Kluyveromyces lactis: one gene and its partners. The protein of the gene in region 5 purifies or fractionates together with the protein of the main gene of each other region. This does not show direct contact. Links are inferred from orthologs where the notes say so. Each region holds a gene or a part of one and is shown on either strand. Other genes may lie near its edges.

Region 1 (2,713 bases), about 350 kb from region 5:
TTTCGTGTTTGATGTTGACATCGAAGAAGGCAAACCACCGTTGAAACTACCCGTCAATGCAAACGATAATCCGTACGATGTTGCAGATAAATTCATAATTAGATACGAGTTGCCAACAAGTTATAAGGATCAAATTGTCCAATTCATTGTGACAAATACTAAGTCGACTACATTAGATCAACCTTCTGATATTTCCAGACATGCAGACGTCAATTATAAGATATTCCCCGTGAAGAAGTACCTAAAACTTACATCTTTCAACCCAGATTCTTTGTTCAATGGTATTGTGAAACTTAATCAGGCAGAAAATACCTTTGACGATGACGCACTTGGGGCAATCGGTTCAGCTTTGCACGATGTGGAAAACAACATTGAACTATTGTATGCGCATGCATGCATCATTAAAAATCAATGGAAGGGGAACAAAACACCCGCATACGATATAGTTAGAATTCTAACCCCAAAGTTACCTTCAAGTGACGACATGAGTGAGTTTATCGAGGAAGGACTTTCACAAGAAAATCCAATCTCTACAATGCTAACTACAAGAATGTTAGCCAACTGTTTCTCTAACCAAATTTGGGGGAAAGAGCTCATGGGTAAGCCAGCATTGTACGATTCCGTGTTCCAAATATTGGACGGTGATTATCCAAATTGCAAACCTCAACAAAAAGACAACTTGGCTATTGCAATCGCCACTCTACTCTTCAATTATACCGTATACATCCTGGAATCCAATGATCAACAAATTCTTCCAATCATTGCTGATGTACTTAATACAAAATACGGATCATCATCTCTGTTCCTCAACAGTGAAGAAGCTACATATAGACTCCTAATCGCTTACGGAAATCTAGCCACTGTAGAACCATCGTTACATCAATACGCTAAATCCATCTCCTGGATTATCAGAGCTAAGGATAAATACGGTAAGATAGGTAGATTCGAAGATGTATTCGAAGACTTATTTAGATGATGGTAGTCTTTGATCATTAAATATTACATACATACATAAAGATACAACTTCTCCGGGTTAATTTGCTATCAAGTTATCAAATATGGTGGTGTTCTGTCAATGCTAGTGAGTGGATCATAATTCAATCATCATTAGAGTAGTTGAAGCGCTCGTCTCTTCTTTAATCCTATTCATGTACATAAGCATTTCTTGAAAAATTATAAAGGAAAGTTTAGTCAAAGTTTACATTTAACATGTAAGTAAAGGTTTGAACGAAAGATTGACAATTTCAAGGGTGAATAAGTTCAATTGAGGCACTAGCTGACCAATAAAAAACAATCACACGTTTTAAAATGTCTTTTGAGCGGGACTTAGAGAGCATTGCTGAAGGAAAAGTATGTTCTAACCAGTTTTCATTCCAGTTACAGATTTCTACATCAGAAGCAAACCGAACATTTTACTAACTCATTTCAACAAATTCAAACTAATATGAACCAGACACGTCAACACCATGCAGTATGTGATGAATGAAAGTGATAATTCAAAGTGACAGTATCAATCTTTGGCGAAATTGTCAAAAGAGAGTAATCATTCTTATGGAACAAAAAATATTAACAAGATAGAGTCCTGTGACCATGTTATGAACCAGGTTTATCGTCGTCGTGATCTGAGAAATGGCTTAGCTGATCGTCTCGGGATCTCTGACAGAGATAGAGAACCTCGTGGGAAGGATGGTGGTAGAGGAGGCTACCGTAGTAAGAGAAACTTTAATGACAGAAGGAAGAGAATAACGTTACTAAGAATTAGAAACATACCGTTAGAGACCAGTGACTATGAAATCGAAGATTGGATCAATGAGATAGGTGAAGTGGAGTCAATTAGGATCAATGATAGGAAAGAAAACAGAGTTGCTACCGTTGGTTTTAAAGACGTACAGTTGTTAGGCACAGCTGTTGAGAAGTTGAATGGGAAGGAGGTTCATGGCTCGCAGCTTGAAGTGGAGACCTTTGAAGTTGGTTCCAAAAACACAGGTAGAGGTCCAGCAGGTCCTCATGCCACTGGTGTACCCACATCAGCTAAAACTCCTAAAAATCCGAAAGCAGAACCTAAAACAAAAGAAGAGTTAGACCAAGAAATGGATGACTACATGTCGCAACCTTGAGAAACTCTCTAAAAGGAAACTGGCCCCGTGCTGTTTATGTAACTTATGTGCAAACTAATCACATGCTTGAGTTTGTTTCACGTATTTCATTTGTATAGTTGGAATGTTTTCGATGTTTTAGTCATCACACATGCTCATACCAATCTTATTGTGATGGAAAGAGTTAAGGCAACGTAAAACGAATGAAGAATATTAACCAAGAATAATGCGATTATATATATAGTTTATATATGCAGAAAAACTTGAACACTGTAAGTTGCGTTTTTTATTGGGGGGTTAGTTTATTTGCTTAATAGATTCGTTAAAAAAATCTATCAGGTTCATCATAATCATACTATGACACTTTCCAATAGGTGCTCGACAACAGAACAGAAACAAAGGTATTAGTCATTTCATTTCGTAAGCCATGTGTTGGGTCTGCTATTTGAAATAACATCCCACTTGAGAATAAATCTTTATCATAACAATTAAAGGACAAGTGGAAGCAAAACAACCCAGTTTAAAAAAGAAAGACCACTCCCACTGTTCTTGTCGAAGGGTTAAAACAGAGCGTTTTTAGTTTGTCTGTTTTTTTCTTTCATATTTCTATCCATAAA
Region 2 (3,201 bases), on a different chromosome or scaffold from region 5:
TTAGTAGTGAATCTACAATTTCCTAAGTCGTTTGACAGCTTTGTGCATCGTGTAGGTAGAACTGGACGTGCTGGTAAAACTGGTACTGCACTTACTTTTCTAACCGAGGAGGAAGATCATTCTGCCATGGCTAAATTGTTCGATTATGTCAAAAAGAACGACTTCACCGGAGAAAATTACATCTCAAAAGAAGCTATGTCGAAATACAATGTTGACAAATCTTCATACAAACCAATTATTATATGAAAGGACTAGACTTTTTTCCTTGAAATTTTAGAGTCATGCAATATGAATTAGAGTATTTAACGTAAATAGTTACAGTGTGCTAGCTAATAATGCATTTAGGATTCCAGGTCAATCCTGGAAATACCCAATGGTCTGACGATTCATGCGTTCTTGTTTGAGCCTGTGCCTTGTCTTCCATTTTTTCGGATGTCTGATTCAAAATTATCGTGTTTTTTGATGAAGGCCAAACCGTAGACTGACGAAGTTCAAGTAAGTGAACTCGACAAAACAACTTCGACATAATTTGAAAACCAGGCATTGATAGCTTTTATATTCATTTCAAATATTTGCAATGTCAGTAAAACAAATCTGAAATCCGCTAGATGTTGTTCATGACGGCAACCAGTAATCCAAAATATACCTAATCTGGAAAAGTCAATGTGTCACATGACTTCACGAAATCTAGTCTTCATCAGATGAATATTGGGTTACCAAAGGTAAAACCGACGATGGTTTTGAAACTGTTATATTTGCAGCAACGTTGGTATTGGTAATAGTCACTTTCCTTTGTTTCAACTTATCTAAAATAGTCTTATCTATGATTGCATTCTCCCTAATGCTGAATCTTTCACGACTGTTCGCCTGCGAATCTCTCACTTCGTTGATTTCTTCAACTTTACGTTTTTGATTTACAGTGCCTTCAGTACTAGCCACTAGTTGTTTTATAGCTTTCAAAGTCTCTTGGGTTTGTTCTTCCAATTCTCTCTTTCGTACAGCTGGATTAGGATCCTCGTTCGCCCATTTCACAAGCAACCCAGTTCCCTCCTTCCTTAGATCCCACTCTTTATCGGTTGGTATTAATAGAGTCTGATTGCCCATTGCTTCCTTAGTAAATTCGGAGTTACACTGTAATTTGAACTTGACAAAGGCACAATTCTTACTCTCCACGTATCGAACAGAATCCAATTCTCCAAGTTTCCCGAACTTGTATTTCACTCTATTCTCAATCTGATGTGGTTTCAAAGTTTTGTTGTTGAGTGCCCCTGTAATACCACCCACGTATAAGACACGGTTAGGTTTCTTGAAGGAACCTACCCCACCCATATCATCTCTATAATCAGCAAATTTCTCTCTTCCAAAACAATCTAACGCAGAGGAATGCAAAGCTAACCTCGCAAAATCATCTGGCTCTGGAATATGATGCAAGTACCGACAATTTTTGCCTAAACAGCACATTCCCTTAGCGAAATACAAACAGAAATGAATCCGACCCTCTTTATCACCTTTAGTGATACCAGAATCGTTCTCGGGATCAAGCGAGTACGGTGTGACGAACCTAGTGGACCCACTTTGCCCCTGTGACCATTTGTTGTACCATACGTTGAAAGCCAAACCCGTCTGAGGCGGTACTGATGAAGGTAGGTCAGACTCCTGTAACTGAACCCTTGCTGGTCGGTTCTTCCAATCCCCAGTCATAATATATTGATGACGATGACCTTAATATTTGGCAATTTGCCAAACCAAGTATTCTTTAATGACCTCGAACAAGCAAACAGTTTGAACCGTCCAATTTATGCAACAACAGATACCGTATTATAACGGTGAAAACTGTATCTTGTCGAGCACACATCTTCCATGTTCATCTCATCGCAGGCCAAAGTGTTTTCAATAAACTTCAAGGTTGGAACTTTTCTTTAGTGAAAACGATCATGATCAAAAACAAAATGGAAACGAAAAAAAGATAAGTCTCCCGGGGGCGAGTCGAACGCCCGATCTCCAGATTACAAATTGCTTTGTGTTTTCAAATTACAGTCTGGCGCCTTAAACCAACTTGGCTACCGAGAGAAGTTACTTGTGTGTTGTAATTTTCAATGATGCTATAACCAAACTTCAAGGTTTACTAAGACTACATTGCCTGACATTAAGAGGTATATGGAGTATTTAAACCTTTTAAAGTATTTAATTATACAAGTGAAGTGATCACAGGACAATAATGCCCTGCACCTGGAACAGCTAATTTCTCCTACAGAGTTTAATCATTGTACATATTGTTCGCCATTTAAAACTCCAAGTTTTGTATGAAATTAAAGGGACTCATCCAGAATAATGTTAGGCGATGGACATTTCTACAACTGCTATGTACCACCTCCGAAACAAGACGCTGGCACGATATTCTGAAAAGTTGTTTATGTGTCGCATGGATTAATTTATGTCGTCCCTACTGTAATTGATACTTTATTTCTTTTTCATGTTACTCGGTACTGGAAAATTTTCATTTTTTGTTAACAAAAAGAAGAGCGATGAGTATGAGAATTGAACTGTTGAATGAATCGATGAACCTATCTTGCTGATGTGATATTGATTCCTTTCTCAATCAATTGCTCGCTCTATTTGAACCAGGGGAACAGTGAAGAACTATACATAATAACAAAGATGGCCAAGGATAAGAGTGTATCAACAGAAGACAACTACGAAGCTAGACTTCCTGCCGTTCTACCATTTGCAAAACCTCTAGCATCAAAGAAACTGAACAAAAAGGTGTTAAAGACCGTCAAGAAGGCTTCCAAGGCTAAGAATGTCAAAAGAGGTGTCAAAGAGGTTGTCAAGGCTTTGAGAAAGGGTGATAAAGGGTTAGTAGTCATTGCTGGTGATATTTTCCCACAAGATGTTATTTCTCACTTGCCAGTTTTGTGTGAAGACCAATCTGTTCCATATATCTTTGTGCCCTCGAAGCAAGATCTAGGTTCTGCTGGTGCCACCAAGAGACCTACTTCTGTTGTATTCATCGTTCCAGGCTCTAACAAGAAGAAAGATGCTAAGGCTAAGGAAGAAGAATACCGTGCTGCATTCGATGAAATTGTTAAGGAAGTAAGCTCTTTGTAGAGATATGAAAACTGTCGACAGAACAACCGGAAAAGAGAAAGTTATAATCGCAAAACACCGAGTGTTTCGTTAATTGCTTCCTGGTGTTGGCTT
Region 3 (3,511 bases), on a different chromosome or scaffold from region 5:
AGACAATAACTAATGAACTTGTGATTGGATGCCACGAAATTCAAAACGGTATACTTCACGAAGGTATCGTTGAAGAACTTGAAAAGTGATTTACCGTCCAAATAGTATATCGTAGTAAACAAAAAGTACCAGTTCAAAGTTTTCGTTAAAGGGAGGTTTTTTTCACGTCCTGATTGTCCAGTAACTGCAATGCATTCTTTGAAAGTGGCAATTTGGCAACCCAAAATCAAGACAACACACCAAAAGTGACCAGAAGCCAAGATGATAAAAAAACCTGCAATCATAACAAATGTCCAAATGGTTCTAACAGCAAAATTATATAGTTTTGAATCTTTTTTGACTTCAACCTTGGAGTGTTTTTTGTAATCTTCAACTAACCGTGTTCTCGATGTTGTTTCTCGATGTTGTTTCTGAGGTGTTGAGGTTGCAGATCCACCACGGGAGGTGTTACCAGTTCTTTTTTTGACTGTCATCACTTTTATATTCCCGGTTAGCAGATTGTAACGTGCTTAGATCAATAAGATGCTGTGAAGTAGAGATCTGTTTCCTTACTCATGCGAGTGATGATGCTCTTCTTTTTTCTTGGTTGATTATATATTTCCACCATCTATTCCAAATGGATAATTTTCTTCGAACTTCAAGATCATGTGACATGTGAAAAAAAAACCATGCTCCCAACTTGTGTAAAGTTCCTCTACATACATACGATATTTACAGATGCAGCAATAAGGGAGAGTCTTTCCATTTTAGCATGTGTGTAGGATTGAAAGGTCAGAGAAGGCCCTGTTTCTTAAGTTCTTCGTATACTTGAACACTCATCACATTACCTTCATTGTCCTCTGTTTCAAGTACCATTTCCGGTTCTTTCACAGTTGATATTTTGGAAAAGGGTTCACCTGACTTTAGTGTACTCTTTGCTTGCAATGCTTTCCATAGCTCTGTCACCTCTACTATAGTAGTGACATCTTTGAATGCAAGAGAAGGAGTTATGCCTAAAGATTTCAAACCTTCTGAATGTTTTTTCAGTGGGAAATGTTTCTCGAATTCTCTACGCCCATGATATATTTGATTACCGCAGATCTCGCAAACATATTTCACATCTAAACCTTGGACTTTGATGAGCCAGCGAGGTATAGGAAATCCGTCAGGTCCTAATGGTAGGTTGTATGGATTCGTTGGATCCATACTCTCTTTTTGAGCAGTATCTTCAGCATTGTCAATATAAGATGGTTTATCTTCAGATTCATCTTTGGCGTATATGGGTGATTCATATTGTTCTTGTAGCTTTTCCAGCTCTTCAGTAAACTCTTCATCTGTGAATGCAAGTTTTCTTTCCGTGAATGATATTGTATTTTGCAATACTTTAGAGAGAAATTTGGAAAAACAGTGAAACGTGTATTCCTTCATCAAACGCTTTCTATTCCGAGACAATGCAATATTAAACTGTTCAGTTTGAACATGAGTATTAAATTCCGACTGACTATCAAACCATCGATTAAACACAACGGAGTACATTTTCCCGCTTTCCTTCGATGGGGATTCTGTGATACCGGTCCTCACATATTTATCAAATCCATTGTGGATGGTTTTGGAAAGAATTTCCTTGTCCACTAGAGGATAAGCTTTGGAGTAATAGGCCTTATAATATTTCAGTAACTCAGTGACTAATTGGTTATATTCCTTGGTGTCTCTATCTAATGATGGGTTGAGTAAGTAGTCGTATGTTTCAAATGATTCTAACATCTTCAAAAATGAAAGTATCGTTAAATCCGCACGCTTGATGATATTCAACCACTTCTTGAATTGTTCTGAGAGATCCAAATACGTCCCAAAGTTTTCATCTCTAGCAAAGTTTCTTGAAAGATCAATTATTTGTCCTATGGGCGATATGATGTTCTTACTGGCAGCTTGAGGGCCAGAAAACATCTCATAGTCAGATTTGACTTCAACCAGAGAACGTGAGTTTACTTGACCCTCTAATACTTCTGTGGTGACGGTTTCAAACTGTTCAAAGCTAGCGTTTGTATCCCTAAAGTATTCTAAATGTTCTTCACTCAATTTGTGCTTTTGCAAAGATTTCAACAGTCTTCTATATCTTCCAAGAAATAAGGCGATTTCATATTCTTGTGCTTTGATTTGCTTTCTAGAACGTTTGCTTTTCTTGCTCCTGTAAATCCTGTTGGCAGAAACGTCTAGCTTAGGTACCGCCCAAGCTTCAACTCCCAGATTATGCAGTGCTTCGTTAAATCTGTAAAAGATTTCTGGATTTCTTCGTAGTCTGGACGAAATAGCATCCTCGATGACTTCTAATTCTTCTAATATCTTTCGCCTCTCTTCAAAACATAGATAAGTGGGGGCATTCATATCTATTGTCTTCTATGAATCCTCTAACTGCTACACAGACAGTAAACCGAAGGCACGGTATTCATTTTGAGCCTTCATCTGATCCATATTTGTACTTTCTAAGGTATTTCCATTCTTTACATTTTTATTTTCTATAATCAATGGCAATTTCGACGTATGAGGAACAAATACTAGTAAACAATGTAAACCAGCAATACAATATGTCACATATCATAACAATAATTTGGAGAGAGGCCATTTCATGTTTAAGCTTAGAAAATGTCTATTCAATTACACACTGATTGTTATTTGAGCAGTTACATAATATACTAATGTTTTCTCCGCTTCGTAGGACGGGCATTCTTGGAACGCTTTTTCTCTTTAATTTCTCTTAGCTTTCTAATCTCGTCAACTGACTTTATTTCTTGTTTCATCCCAGGACCATTATAACCCTTAACTCTAACACCTCTTTCCAAAGCAGCTTCCACTTTTTTCTTTTGGAAAGCGTAATCGTCTCTATGTTTATCAGGCAATTTAGGAGCTTTTTGAGTCTTGTGTTTGAATTTACCGCCAACCGTACGCTCCGATGGAGAAGTCGGATCAGCCAATAGATTCGATGGAATAGTGGATTCTCTTGCACCAACTTTGAGTGGAGCAATTTTTCTTGCCTTAGACCAATCTTGGAATTTTCCGGATCTGAAACTTGCAGGAATCTTTTGACCACTTTCTCCGATGATGTACTTTTTGTTGTCCAAACCTTGAGTGTTCACATATTTCTTACGCTTCTTGTCCCACTTAACCGTAGCTGTTTGCTTGTGAACTTGTACCTTGTCATCGTTGGCTAGATCAAATGCAGCATTGGAAGCATCATTTGTGAAACCAGATGATATCTGTAATTGTTTATCTTGAATGTCACTAGTTGGTGCGAAATGTGATAGATAAAAAGTTGGATCTCTGAAAGTTTTCTTCTGCTTCTTCTTAATATTTTCTTGCTCTTCTAACAAGACATCGGCATCTTCAAATTCTTTCAATACCTCATCAGGCACTGAGTAACCAACTTCGTTGTCTTCACCTTTCAAAATTTCATCTTCTATACTATGCCTCAAACCAATCATTCTCTCTTTTTCCAGAAGTTCTTGTCTTTCTTTTGCCTTCCTTTGAATTGGAG
Region 4 (2,692 bases), on a different chromosome or scaffold from region 5:
GTTCCCAACTTAGCGGACGTTTCTCACAAGGTTAATGTTTCTCCTTTGGAAGTTTGGTTCACCTTGGATGAAAATAACAACGCTGATACTTCGACCGTCAGATGCATCCACACTTATTCGGATAATTCAGCTTGTATCCAAACTCCTACACTTTCTCATGACTTTAAAATCACAGTGACAGATACAGTGGATGCACTTCCAGAAGATTTGGAATCTTCAGAGTTTTTCGATTGGCTACAGAGGGAACAACCAAGCTTCAGGAAATTCTTACAGGAAAGTAATTTCTCTTTCGGAGGCTTGAAGAAGCCCCGCATTGCTCCTTCTTTTGAATTGAACGTGAAATTAGAAGGAATGGAAGAACCGCAAAAGATCAGATACAATTATTTGCATCGCTACGAACACCGTTTATTAAGATTCAAGTACAAAGAAGATTGTTTGGTACAACTCTCTGAAATTGAAGGCGGAAGCTTAGGAGGCAAAGCTTCATCTATTGATTTTATCAGCACTAACGGATCCATCAACAAGGACATCGTTAGAAATTTCATCGATGACGTTTTACAATTCTGAAATCATTCGAAATATTTTGGTCCTTAATGCATATATGTATAATTATACAAAGTCATCCTGTAAATAGTGCGGAAGAACAGATATATAGACTTCATTTAAGTTTTTGACGTACACCTGTCGATTGATTCTCCATAATAGAAAAATATTTAACATAAACTATTTTACATGCTTTCGTATAAATTCCTTATGATATTCGCTTTGAGTAATATTATTGACATATTTTCCCTTCCCATTTGAATTATGTTCAGATATACTTGCCGATTGATTGACTGTACCTTTACGTCCAAATACAGTGTTAGATCTCCAACCACCATGCTTTTGCGGTTTCGTCACTTCTTCATTTTGAGCTGCTGTGATTTCAGCACGCTGTTCTCTCAGTTTTTTGTCCAATCTTTCTTGCTTAACTTTATTCCACTCCTCTAATAGCGCTTCTTCATCTTCACTCTCCTCCTCCTCTTCCTCGTACTCATCGCTACTATCCGTGGCCTGTATCTCTTCATCTTTCGAGCATTCCTCTGCTCCAGTTATTTTGATTCTTTTCTTAGCCTCCTCACTCGGAGTACTTTCTACTTTACGATTCAACACCCTCTTCTTCGTGTTTCTATACTTAACCTCTTTGTGCCCCGGTAAAAGTCTAGCGTGCTGCGTCGAAGTAGGAATGTATTCTATATTCTTTGCCCCATTCCTGGCCTCTAGTTGAGGTCTGTGCGATGTAGTCATTTCAGAACACAGTCAATATTATATTCAATCTGTAGCACTCCACTGAAACTAACGTAAGCTTATCTACCATCCCAGGTACCAGTTAAATTAGCTCACCTGTTTTGCCTGTGAACAATCTCGTGAATGTGCGTTGATGTTCAATCTTTATAGCCTTGATATGAAAAAATAGCAATCTGAAACTTCAAATGCGAATCTACGTTAACAATTACCGTGTACCAAAGAAATAAGAACTACGAACGTCGTACTGGCAACTACATATAGCAAGCTACATTTCATACCAAACTTTTCTAAGAGGACATAGGACTTTATCATTTAATCATTTCCCGTGGAGCATTCGTTCACACTAGAAATATAGAACTGAACACATATTGAATGAGGCTTTGAACTTAGATCAAAGACGGTGAGATTTACTAATAACATCAGAAGACATAACTATCATAATGTCAGAATATGAGGTTGACCAAGAGGACGATATGGTTGGGTACATATCGATAAAAGATTACGCATATGACGAATCAAATCCGTTACATTTTGGTTATTTTGAAGAAGATGATGAAGATCAGAACAACCTTCGATTGAGTGGGAACAGAGAAAGTGTGTTACTACCAGATGATTATATCGTTAATAAGAGAGCCATAGCGATGTATGCTTTTGTCCCAGAAAATGATAACGAGTTGGAGTTGAAAGAAGGAGATGTCGTATATATAAGTTACAAGCATGGCCAAGGGTGGTTAGTGGCAGAAAATCACGATAGATCCAAGACAGGATTGGTACCGGAAGAGTATGTGCAGTTGATTGAAGACGATGGCGAAGACAACGGTAGGTATGAGAATCCTAGGCCGTTTTATCTTACTCAAATGATAACGCAGAGCATGTCTAATTATCACGATGATGATTGGGAAGACATAGAAGATGACGAGGAAGCTGAAGGACATAGTGATAAAGAGCACAGAAGTATACAGCGACCCAGTCAAGATTCAGTATCAGTTGATATAACGAACAACAATGGTGTTTCTCATGATAATAGAACTGTTCTTGAAAACGGAAAAACAGGCAGTACGTTAAATGAAAAGAGCGACGTATCAGAACTCGCGAAAGATATCAAGGAGAAATTGGATCTATAGCATTCTGTTTTCTGCGCTAAATATCTATATATTAGCTGCAATATTAATTAAATACTTTTCTAGTAATACGTTACAATAAAAGTCCCGTTAAGATGAAATGAAAGAATTGATCAAAAGCAGTTTAACATGAAGCCCGTGCCTGCATTCTTAGATCATTCAAGCTCGTTGATTTCGATTTCATCAATTTCTGTAACTTCCTCTCCACGTTTGAGTTTCATTAGTTCTGTTATATCAAGAGCACCACCAATTTCATTCAACAAGCCATGGACTCCTTGGATTAT
Region 5 (2,760 bases):
ATACAGACAAATCGGTGAGTTCAGAAATCCTGCCTCCAGATCATGATGACTCAGTGCAACACGAGGAAGATGGATCTGATCCCCAATTGGAAATGAGATTCCGTACTATACCACTTACAAGAAGGAAAAAATTGATAGATCGTCTGGATGAATTGAAACGTCTGTCATCGAATAATATGCCCCCACCTTCTCATCGTCGACAACCATCGTGACATTTGTCGTAATGCATATCATAAATCTACACTTTTTCGGTTATCGTTTAGCATGCATGAGAAGAAGATTTTACCCCTTCATATTAAGGTGGTCTTTTCTTTCTCCTAATTCTTTATATTCTTAATTTTTTTTGTTTTGTCTACGGTCAATCTTCAATTCCAGCTGTCACGAGCTCATTATAAGGCACAGCTTTAACTTTCTTTCATTTATTAGTTTATTAGTGTTTGTCTGCTCTTTTATCTACCATCCATTCATTTCACCCAACTCCTATTGATGGATTAAAGCGGCAAAATTTTTTATTATATCGAGATATCTTTAGCTCTAATATGAACTAGCTATATATTCAAATAAAATACTTCTTACCACAGTATTATTCTTTTAAATCAATTAACTTAGTGAAATAGGTACTTAGATTGAAATGTGATATATACACATCGATAAACGACCTTATGATTGTACTGTTTTTATTGGCCTGGAATGTAAGCATCTTCATCTTCTTCATATTCTTCATCCTCTTGCTGTATTGGAATGTTTTTAACTCTTCTGGCCCCGAAGTTGGCATTTGTTCCAATTCTATTCTCAAGTGGAGTGTAGAACCCACCTCTGGACGCATCGAATTCGAATCTCATCTCATCACTAACTTGACCACCATTCTTACCTCTACCGAACTGTCTTCCCTCTTCGAACCCAGGATCCAAGTCAATGGTTATATGACGGTCATCTAACTTCGTGTCACCCAAGTATTTTATAGAATTCAATGCGTCTTCCATCTTATCGAATATAATAAAACAAAATCCACACGGCGTAAACTTGAACCTATCTAGACCCATGATAATCTTTTTTATGGTGCCACATTTGGAGAATAGCTCATATATTTGCTCTTCACTTGTGTAAAACGATAGATTACCCACATAAACTGTACAGGATTTCATAGATTTTCTCAACTGTTGCAATCCAGAATCTGGGTCACGTCTAGCCTTACGGATCAAATAACGAGAGGGCTTATCTAACCTATCACAACTGTGATCGTACTTAATCTCATCAAACTCCGCTAGAGACATGGTATTTGCTTGACTGATGCTAGTTTGGGGTATTTGGAGTTTATCTGGAGCTATGGTGTCTTATGAACCTATAGATTTTACTTAATCATTTCAATCCCAAATTTAAAGTTGAATGAATCTTTCAAGTTTTTTTTTTTTTTCCATATAAGCCATATTATAAGTACTGAATACTTTGTGTCAGTGACAGGTTGTGAAAAATCAAATAAACAAATCGGGTGGACACTGCATCGAAGCTCTTGACTGCTGAGAAAGAATAATAAGTAACTTTCAATTAATTAAATTTGAGACTATCCAGTGGTTTCTCTGGAAAAATATTGTTATGCACTCTACTTTGACAGAAATGATTCTCAATAGCCATAAGGGAAATGTGGGAAGATACCATTTTAGAATTCATAACACACCCCCATGCCACCAAGAAGAATAAGATCCCTGTTAAATAGGTGCTGATTGTTAAAATTGACTACACAAGTATTTCCAAGAGATTCAGCTACATACTAACAATATCTGAAGAGAAGGTTTCAAGTGATACTGTTTCCATAATAAAAACTAATGTTGATTTCTATTTTGTATGGTTACTATCCGATATAGTGTAACGGCTATCACATCACGCTTTCACCGTGGAGACCGGGGTTCGACTCCCCGTATCGGAGTATTTTTGAAATTTTTTGCTTTTGCCAACAACCCAACAACTGAAAATAATGAAGATCGACATTAACGAGCGGACCGTGATATATGATACTGATAACTAATCCGTCACAATATATACCACTGTAGAGGCAGTAAACTATCAAGATAGAATTAGCAGCAGTACCTGTTTACCACACATTGGATACGTAATACAATGACATATACGGTATAGACGACAAGAAAACAAACAAACTGATAGACATGAATACCAAAGTATTTCAGACATTTATGAGATGAGATATGGTTGAATTGTTATAAAGATTAGAAAACGTATGTCGAAAAACAAGTAGTTGAAAATTGTATTGGCCTAGTGTAAAAAGGAAGTAAAAATGAGAAAAAGAAATCAGTGATTGTGACAGTATTATGATATTGTATTTCAAGATTGAGAAAGGTGCGAACGAACGGAATTACTATTATCAGTATAATAAAGCCATAAAAGGAGAGAAATGAAATATTCATCAATGATTCATGATACACTATGTATGAAAATTTGTAGAAAAGGAATAGTCGTAATGAAAAAAAAAATAGATATTGTTTCATGTAAACATCTAATCGGAAGCAAACTTCTTTTATCTCTTTCTTTTAATACCGTGAGGTTTCAATAGTTCAAAGCTGCACATCAAGCCAGTAGTCACACTCATGACAGCACCCCAATTTTCGAATTCACCACAATAGTTTGGTGCACTGAAAATCGTGACCAATTTTTTCCTTGCAAAGAATTCATAGCCATCTTCTACCACCATATGCCCTCTGATAATTAAATCGAAATTGAACTTGGAACAAAAATCAGCAATGTTTT
Region 6 (3,251 bases), on a different chromosome or scaffold from region 5:
TCATAATGCACGTAGAACTTAGGTGGATCTCTTCTGCTGTTAATGGATAGAATTTCAGCAAGACGATCTTGACCATCTTTTAGTACCCATGACTTGCATCCAACGAAAATCTCATCGATGCTGTCAACCTTCTGGGGAATCCCAGGTTCCTTTTCTTCGCCGTGACTCATGTATTAGCGAGCTCGCCCAAAATATTTGTTAAACAGTTGCCTTGCCTTACTAGTTCCTCTTACAGAGGTGCTCTGTTTTTGGATTTGGTTTATTGCGTAACTAATAAGTTCAAATATTTTGAAGATGCTAAATTTCAGTTAATTTATTCAGATTACCGTATTAAAGCAAACACCATGCTTGAACAAACATACAAGAAAACCTGACGTTCCCTGTCCTTGACTACGTGACTGTAATCATATGACAGTTAGAGCAAACCTCGCAATTAATGCAGACTGAAATATTCTAGATAGATGGAAAACGGGGACCTAATAGAGTTAAACTACAAACTTCTACATAAGTCGCTGCAAGTAGACACCAGCTAGATTAGAATCTTTGAGATATTAACGTGGGATTCCACGGCAAGCCAGGGAATGTATCTTCTGTAGCATCAGGGACTTGCTTCCATATTTTGATGCTTTTGTCTCCTTCCCCTGTGATGAGTCTTGTTCCTGTGACATCAAAGGTGCTGCATAAAATCGATCGCTCACTTTCAAGTGAGCCAGCAACTTCAGTTGTCATCATACTTTGGTATTTGTGTCCTGTTTTGTAATCGTAAAAGCACAAAGTACCGTCATCTCCACCAGCTAATAGTACATTATCGTGATTAATTGATACGGTATTCAAAATCCCAGTGTTCTGGGATTGAAAGTTGGTTAATAGCTGTCCTTCGGGCAATTTCCAGGATCTGACGTCGTTCGTAGATACACTGGCAAAGCTAAACTCTGCTGGGTGTAGCGTCAAGTCTCTGATGTTTCTACTATGGTGCGTTAAAACTTTGCTTGCCTTCCCTGCAATGATATCCCAAAGTCTAACTGTTGCATCCCCGGAACAACTGATTATTTGTGGGTCAACGGGAAGGCATTTGACTTTATTTATAGGGCTTTTATGACCGGGCAGAACCATTATCTCAGATCTTGATCGTATATCCCACAACCTTACTACAGCATCACGACCAGCAGTAGCTATTATATCAAGGCTCGGATGAACATCAACGGTATGCACGCCAGATAAATGACCGTGAAAATCCCTAATTGCAGTATTTCTTTCTAGATCCCAACATTTTACAAGTTTATCTTCGCTTGCTGAGAACATATAAGGATGTCTCTTTGAGATAGCAATATCTCGAACACTCATTACATGCCCGATTAGAGTAATTTTCAACTTTCCCGCAGCTAAATCCCAGATTTTAATGGTTGTATCGTTGCTACCAGTAGCAAACCATTCATTGTCAACGGGGTCCACGCATACACATCTTACCCATCCAGTATGACCATTTATTACCTTACTGAGTTTCCATGGTGCATGCCATTGCGGTTTATAACTTCGAGTCTTTTCATAACGTTCCATCAATGAAATCTGCTGATGTGGCTGTTGGAACACTCTTCGTACTAGTTGGTCGCCTGGTTTTGTGGTATGTTTGACTAATGCTTGAGAGCTTTCGTTTGCAACAGTTTTCGACACCTCAACTAATTCACTGTACCTTTCTAAAACAGTCTTTTCTTGATCCAGGCACTTCTGTAACGACTCAGGTAAATAATCAGCATGTTTAAATTCATTATTCCACCGAGTTTGAACGTAAACATCATCTGCTACCTTCGAAGGTTCAGAGCTACGGCTGGATGTATTCATTGGTACTTATTAGTTGTCTATCAGTTCGATTAAGTCGTGTAACTCTCTTTCATCTTTGTATATGTCACTTCGTTAACTTTTCATAATATCCATCATACAAAACGGTTCTTTTCGTTTCTTGAAAAATTTCGAGCTCATCTCATCTCATCTCATCACATTGAAGCAGAAGTCAGTTGTTCAAATCTGGAAGCTGCGCTTCTTAATTGCTTATAACAAGTACCAGGTATTAGTACTCTCGTGTTAAAGTATAGTATTGGTATAATGTCAGACCAATCTTTGAAAAGAGAGTCCGAAGCTGCTGCCCAGCAAGAAGATATTAAGAGGACAAAAGTTGGTGAAGGTATAAATGAAGGTATAAACAATAACAACATCACTGAAAAGGATGTTGGTATCACGCATTACTTATCAATGGATAATGTTGGTTTCAATGGTCAGATCAAACAAAGGTACACTGACTTTTTAGTCAATGAAATCACCAAGCAAGGCGAAGTTGTGCATTTGACTGACAAAGGTTTTAATATGCCAAAGAAGCCAAAGCCAACGAGAGAACAAATCGAGCAATCGCAAAAAGAAGAACTTGAGAAACGCCAAGGATTTAAGGTGGATGAAGGAATTAGAAATGAACTTGTTGAACTTTTGGGAGAAGAGGATGTTCAAAAAATTGAAGCTGTGTACCGCTCAAATAAAAAGATTGAAACATCGAAGGCATTCGATGATAAACTTGAAAGGACTAAAATACATCAACTGCTACGTAGAGCTTTCGACAACAAGTTAGAATCTGTAACGACGGATTCAAACCATTTCATTGTTGGAATGGCTTCTCGCCAAACACGTGTTAGCAAAGAAGAATTGATCGAACAAACTAAGGATGCAAACGGTGTCGAAAACTGGGGTTATGGTCCATCAAAATCGTTTATTCATTTTACTGTCTATAAGGAAAACAAAGATACTATGGATGTCGCTAATACTTTATCAAAATTCATGAGAATTCCAACAAGGTTGATCAGATTTTCTGGAACAAAGGATCGTAGGGCTGTCACTTGTCAAAGAATGTCTTTATCCAAAATTGGTTTGGACAGATTAAACGGACTAAACAAGGGCTTGAAGGGTGTCGTTCTAGGTGGCTACAAATTCGAAGATGAGCCATTGAACTTGGGAGATCTACAGGGAAACGAATTCACTATTGCTATCAGAGATGTTTCATTGAAGAATGAAGGCGATGATTTGGATGATATCCTAGCCAATGGCATGAAATCCTTGGAACAAAATGGGTTCATCAATTATTTCGGTATGCAAAGATTTGGTACGTTCAGTGTTTCAACGCATCAAATTGGGCAAGTCCTATTATCAGGTAACTGGAAACAAGCTGTTGATTTGATCATGGCTGAACAAGAAAATGTTTTGCCAATTTC
Region 7 (3,254 bases), on a different chromosome or scaffold from region 5:
CTAGCTGCACCTCAGCTTGTTCAAATGTACATTGGTGAAGGTGCAAAGTTGGTACGTGACGCATTTGCATTAGCTAAGGAAAAGGCACCTACTATCATTTTCATCGATGAATTAGATGCCATTGGTACAAAACGTTTCGATTCCGAAAAATCTGGTGATAGAGAAGTACAAAGAACAATGTTAGAGTTGCTAAATCAATTGGATGGATTTGGCTCTGATGATCGGGTTAAGGTGTTGGCTGCTACCAATCGTGTTGATGTTCTAGATCCGGCCTTATTAAGATCTGGTAGACTTGATAGAAAAATAGAATTCCCACTCCCTACAGAAGATGCAAGAGCTCAAATTCTACAGATTCATTCCAGAAAAATGACAACTGATGATTCTATCAATTGGCAAGAACTCGCTAGATCTACAGATGAATTCAATGGTGCTCAATTGAAAGCCGTTAGTGTCGAAGCTGGTATGATCGCATTAAGAAACGCTCAATCAACAATCAAGCACGAAGATTTCGTTGAGGCTATCGGTGAAGTACAGGCAAGAAAGTCTAAATCCGTTTCCTTTTATGCATGATTTATATGTAATCATTAAGTATATCTACATAACCTTATCGAAGGTTGTGCCGAAACCAAGAATAATGTCTCAAAGAATCTCAATTCTTCATTAGTCCAGAATGGCAATTTTTCCGGTATTACCAGCGCAACATAACTTACTTGTCTCTTGAGGATTCCATTCAATACAGGTTACTGGCAGGTTATTTGAAAATGGCTTAAATTTCTTTAACAATTTGGTAGTTTTCCAATCCCAGATGAACGTCTGACCTTTAGAGTCTCCAGATGCAATGTATTGGCCATCAGGAGAAAATGCAAAATGAATACCATAACCTGTAGTATTATGACCTTTGAATGTCTTGTTTGGGTGTCTTTTATACTTTGGTAACATTGAGTACGTATAGATGGTGTTGTCCATACTTTGTGTACAGAAAGACTGACCCTGTGGATTAATATCGATCCATGGCATAGAATGTTGTGCTGTGCCACTGATTTGTTTAATAGGAATATTGATTCGGTTCTCCCAAATTCTGACCGTTTTATCTTCTGACGACGAGATTAACTTCTTACCATCAGGGAAGTACTTTAGTGCCAAAATAGAACCCTGATGATGATCATATTTCTGTACTTCCCCATGGTTTTCTGATAGCCTCAAGTCATAGTGCCGTATTTCGGAGTTGGATAATCCTACCACTAGTTGGTTCTTGTCTTTTGGGTGGAATGTAATACAGTTCGGTACAGAGTTGAAACGCAATCTTTTATCAATTATACCTTTTTCGGTGTTCCAGATCTTAACCCATTTATCAAATGATGCACTGGCAAAAGAATGTCCATTATCTGTAAAGTTCAAATCCTTTATAGTCATAGAGTGACCTTCATACGTTCTTAATAGTTCTCTCTCATGATAAAAGTCCCATAGTTTTATTATGTTGTCGTTACCGCCTGAAAGTAAGAGATGTCCTGTTTTCGGTATGAATCGTAATGATGTAGTACCATTCTTATGCCCATAGTATTCTGCTATCTTGGTTTTCGGAAGGAAGCACCTGAATGATAGTGGTTCTTTCTTGAATTCTAATGGAATATCTACTGGGGGGTGTAAAATGCATCTTCCCAGATAGTCTTTTTCAGTACTGCCTACAAATTTCGTTCTTTCAAGTGATTGTGATGCCACTGCATCCTCATCACCACCTAAATCTAAGGAATTAGAAGCATTTGAATCCTTTGATAATTGTTCGATCTCATCGTCACTAGATCCTTGCCATTTTGCCCATGGTCCTTTCCCGTTCCTCCTAAGTCTTTTGGACTTCAATTCAGCCTTTGATGTTTTTAACGATCTCTTAGGCACAGCTACAGATGAGCCATCATCACTACTCTCACTTTCATAACCCTGTACCAGCCCCATTATTCCCTGGATATTATGGCAGTGGCAGAGTCTATCTAGTAAGTTTATCGGTTTGTCCGTGTATTACCTACAATTTTAGATAATCTTTAGAAAGATGAACCTATTTCATATAATGTGATAATGTGCACTTTTTCTTTTTGTTCACACACAGAATATGACGTACAAATCTGGATAAATAAGGAAATGACTTAAAGTTACAGACCATGCCATGATACAGTCGCATGATTAAGTGAAATGATGTATTTATGCTTTAATCAAATGCTGAATATATACATATAAGATGTGGACGTCTTTGGGTTGATATAAAGTGTCCACAAGTTTGCAAATTAGTGTTTTGTTCTTTTGTTCTTGGCCTTAAGTTTTTCAACTAAACCGCCGATCTTATTTATGTCTTTACTATGTTCAGTATTTGCAATTTCGTGGTTACGCTTTTTGCCCCTAGATTTTTTGCTTGAACGTACTGTACGTTCCTTTAAAATCTTCTCCATAGCTGGTGTCTTCTTGAACTCTGGTTGAGTAGGATCAATCGCGAAATCGTGATCTTCAAAGACCTCTTTAAATCTTGGATCATTAACGTCTGGAGTGAATTCATCATCCACAATCTTCTCCTTGTTTTGATACTTGGCCTTTTTGGATTTTTCCTTCTCAGATTTGAGAATCTCATTCATGTTGAAGTGTGCCTTGTTGTTAATTGTTGATTCACCCTCATTTTCATCTAGCATTAAGAGCTCTAACTCTCCCTTTTTCTTATCGTCATCGATGCTGTGAGAAGTATCTTTCTTCTTCTTAAGGTTCTCCTTTAATTTGGCTTCTGATTCCTTCTTAAGCTCCTTGACTCTGTCCTTTCTCTTCTTACGTCTTTCTTTTTCTTTACGTCTAATCTTATCAATGGTGCTTTCCTCTTCGTTATCATTGGTATCTTGTTGGCCAGACTCATCCAGGCCTGGAGTGAAAGTTATTTCCATATCAGCCTCATTATCGTCTTCATCTTCCTTTTGATCAAATAGTGACTTTTGCCCCACTTTTACGGAATCCATTACTAAAGCCTTGAGTTTATTTTTAACTTGATCATCATGCTCAACTTCAGATTCTTCACTATCGGAGGCTAAATAAGCTTTAAAGTCCATTTCTTCAATTTCTTTTTGAGTGAATGCTCTTTTAGATATTTCCACACGGTCTGCAGGAGTTTCATCCCATGTAAGCTTTACCTTGGAATGCTGAAGGGCATCTGTACTGAATTGTGCCGGCTTGTAATTTTTTGGAAGCGAGGTACATTCATCACGAGGATCATCATCCATTTCCAT

The links.
Region 1: the proteins of CBC2 (region 5) and YRA2 purify together in Saccharomyces cerevisiae (affinity purification with mass spectrometry; 4 studies listed by BioGRID). This does not show direct contact. The link is inferred for Kluyveromyces lactis from reciprocal best matches to the Saccharomyces cerevisiae genes CBC2 and YRA2.
Region 2: the proteins of CBC2 (region 5) and CWC2 purify together in Saccharomyces cerevisiae (affinity purification with mass spectrometry; 3 studies listed by BioGRID). This does not show direct contact. The link is inferred for Kluyveromyces lactis from reciprocal best matches to the Saccharomyces cerevisiae genes CBC2 and CWC2.
Region 3: the proteins of CBC2 (region 5) and PRP9 purify together in Saccharomyces cerevisiae (affinity purification with mass spectrometry; 4 studies listed by BioGRID). This does not show direct contact. The link is inferred for Kluyveromyces lactis from reciprocal best matches to the Saccharomyces cerevisiae genes CBC2 and PRP9.
Region 4: the proteins of CBC2 (region 5) and CWC15 purify together in Saccharomyces cerevisiae (affinity purification with mass spectrometry, with the first as the bait; 3 studies listed by BioGRID). This does not show direct contact. The link is inferred for Kluyveromyces lactis from reciprocal best matches to the Saccharomyces cerevisiae genes CBC2 and CWC15.
Region 6: the proteins of CBC2 (region 5) and PRP46 purify together in Saccharomyces cerevisiae (affinity purification with mass spectrometry; 3 studies listed by BioGRID). This does not show direct contact. The link is inferred for Kluyveromyces lactis from reciprocal best matches to the Saccharomyces cerevisiae genes CBC2 and PRP46.
Region 7: the proteins of CBC2 (region 5) and CDC40 purify together in Saccharomyces cerevisiae (affinity purification with mass spectrometry; 3 studies listed by BioGRID). This does not show direct contact. The link is inferred for Kluyveromyces lactis from reciprocal best matches to the Saccharomyces cerevisiae genes CBC2 and CDC40.

The regions. Positions count from the first base shown.
Region 1 is NC_006038.1:1,265,761-1,268,473, forward strand, and holds YRA2 (Yra2p), read left to right. Parts: upstream 1-1,308; coding exon 1,309-1,350; intron 1,351-1,508; coding exon 1,509-2,117; downstream 2,118-2,713. Other genes in the region: DOA1 (Doa1p), read left to right, coding at 1-976. UniProt on the Saccharomyces cerevisiae protein: Involved in export of poly(A) mRNAs from the nucleus. Recruited to the coding sequences as well as poly-A sites of active genes.
Region 2 is NC_006039.1:1,336,484-1,339,684, reverse strand, and holds CWC2 (active spliceosome conformation promoter CWC2), read right to left. Parts: upstream 1,702-3,201; coding exon 688-1,701; downstream 1-687. Other genes in the region: mRNA splicing protein PRP28, read left to right, coding at 1-246; snoRNA-binding protein NHP2, read left to right, coding at 2,659-3,108. UniProt on the Saccharomyces cerevisiae protein: Involved in the first step of pre-mRNA splicing. Required for cell growth and cell cycle control. Plays a role in the levels of the U1, U4, U5 and U6 snRNAs and the maintenance of the U4/U6 snRNA complex.
Region 3 is NC_006042.1:2,292,036-2,295,546, forward strand, and holds PRP9 (SF3a splicing factor complex subunit PRP9), read right to left. Parts: upstream 2,365-3,511; coding exon 772-2,364; downstream 1-771. Other genes in the region: CDS1 (phosphatidate cytidylyltransferase), read right to left, coding at 1-473; ATP-dependent RNA helicase DBP10, read right to left, coding at 2,673-3,511. UniProt on the Saccharomyces cerevisiae protein: mRNA splicing factors, PRP9, PRP11, and PRP21, are necessary for binding of the U2 snRNP to the pre-mRNA in an early step of spliceosome assembly.
Region 4 is NC_006040.1:1,430,672-1,433,363, reverse strand, and holds CWC15 (U2-type spliceosomal complex subunit CWC15), read right to left. Parts: upstream 1,288-2,692; coding exon 724-1,287; downstream 1-723. Other genes in the region: SLS1 (Sls1p), read left to right, coding at 1-567; adaptor protein NBP2, read left to right, coding at 1,728-2,411; ACL4 (Acl4p), read right to left, coding at 2,564-2,692. UniProt on the Saccharomyces cerevisiae protein: Involved in pre-mRNA splicing.
Region 5 is NC_006038.1:913,835-916,594, forward strand, and holds CBC2 (nuclear cap-binding protein subunit CBC2), read right to left. Parts: upstream 1,275-2,760; coding exon 678-1,274; downstream 1-677. Other genes in the region: KLLA0_B10450g (homeobox domain-containing protein), read left to right, coding at 1-212.
Region 6 is NC_006042.1:1,034,174-1,037,424, forward strand, and holds PRP46 (mRNA splicing protein PRP46), read right to left. Parts: upstream 1,840-3,251; coding exon 535-1,839; downstream 1-534. Other genes in the region: NuA4 histone acetyltransferase complex catalytic subunit ESA1, read right to left, coding at 1-170; pseudouridine synthase PUS7, read left to right, coding at 2,101-3,251. UniProt on the Saccharomyces cerevisiae protein: Involved in pre-mRNA splicing. May also be required for cell cycle progression at G2/M.
Region 7 is NC_006041.1:1,891,220-1,894,473, reverse strand, and holds CDC40 (Cdc40p), read right to left. Parts: upstream 1,951-3,254; coding exon 661-1,950; downstream 1-660. Other genes in the region: proteasome regulatory particle base subunit RPT5, read left to right, coding at 1-570; pre-rRNA-processing protein ESF1, read right to left, coding at 2,277-3,254. UniProt on the Saccharomyces cerevisiae protein: May function in the second step of pre-mRNA splicing. Regulatory protein involved in replication and mitotic spindle formation and/or maintenance. Required for initiation and completion of S-phase and for initiation and completion of DNA replication.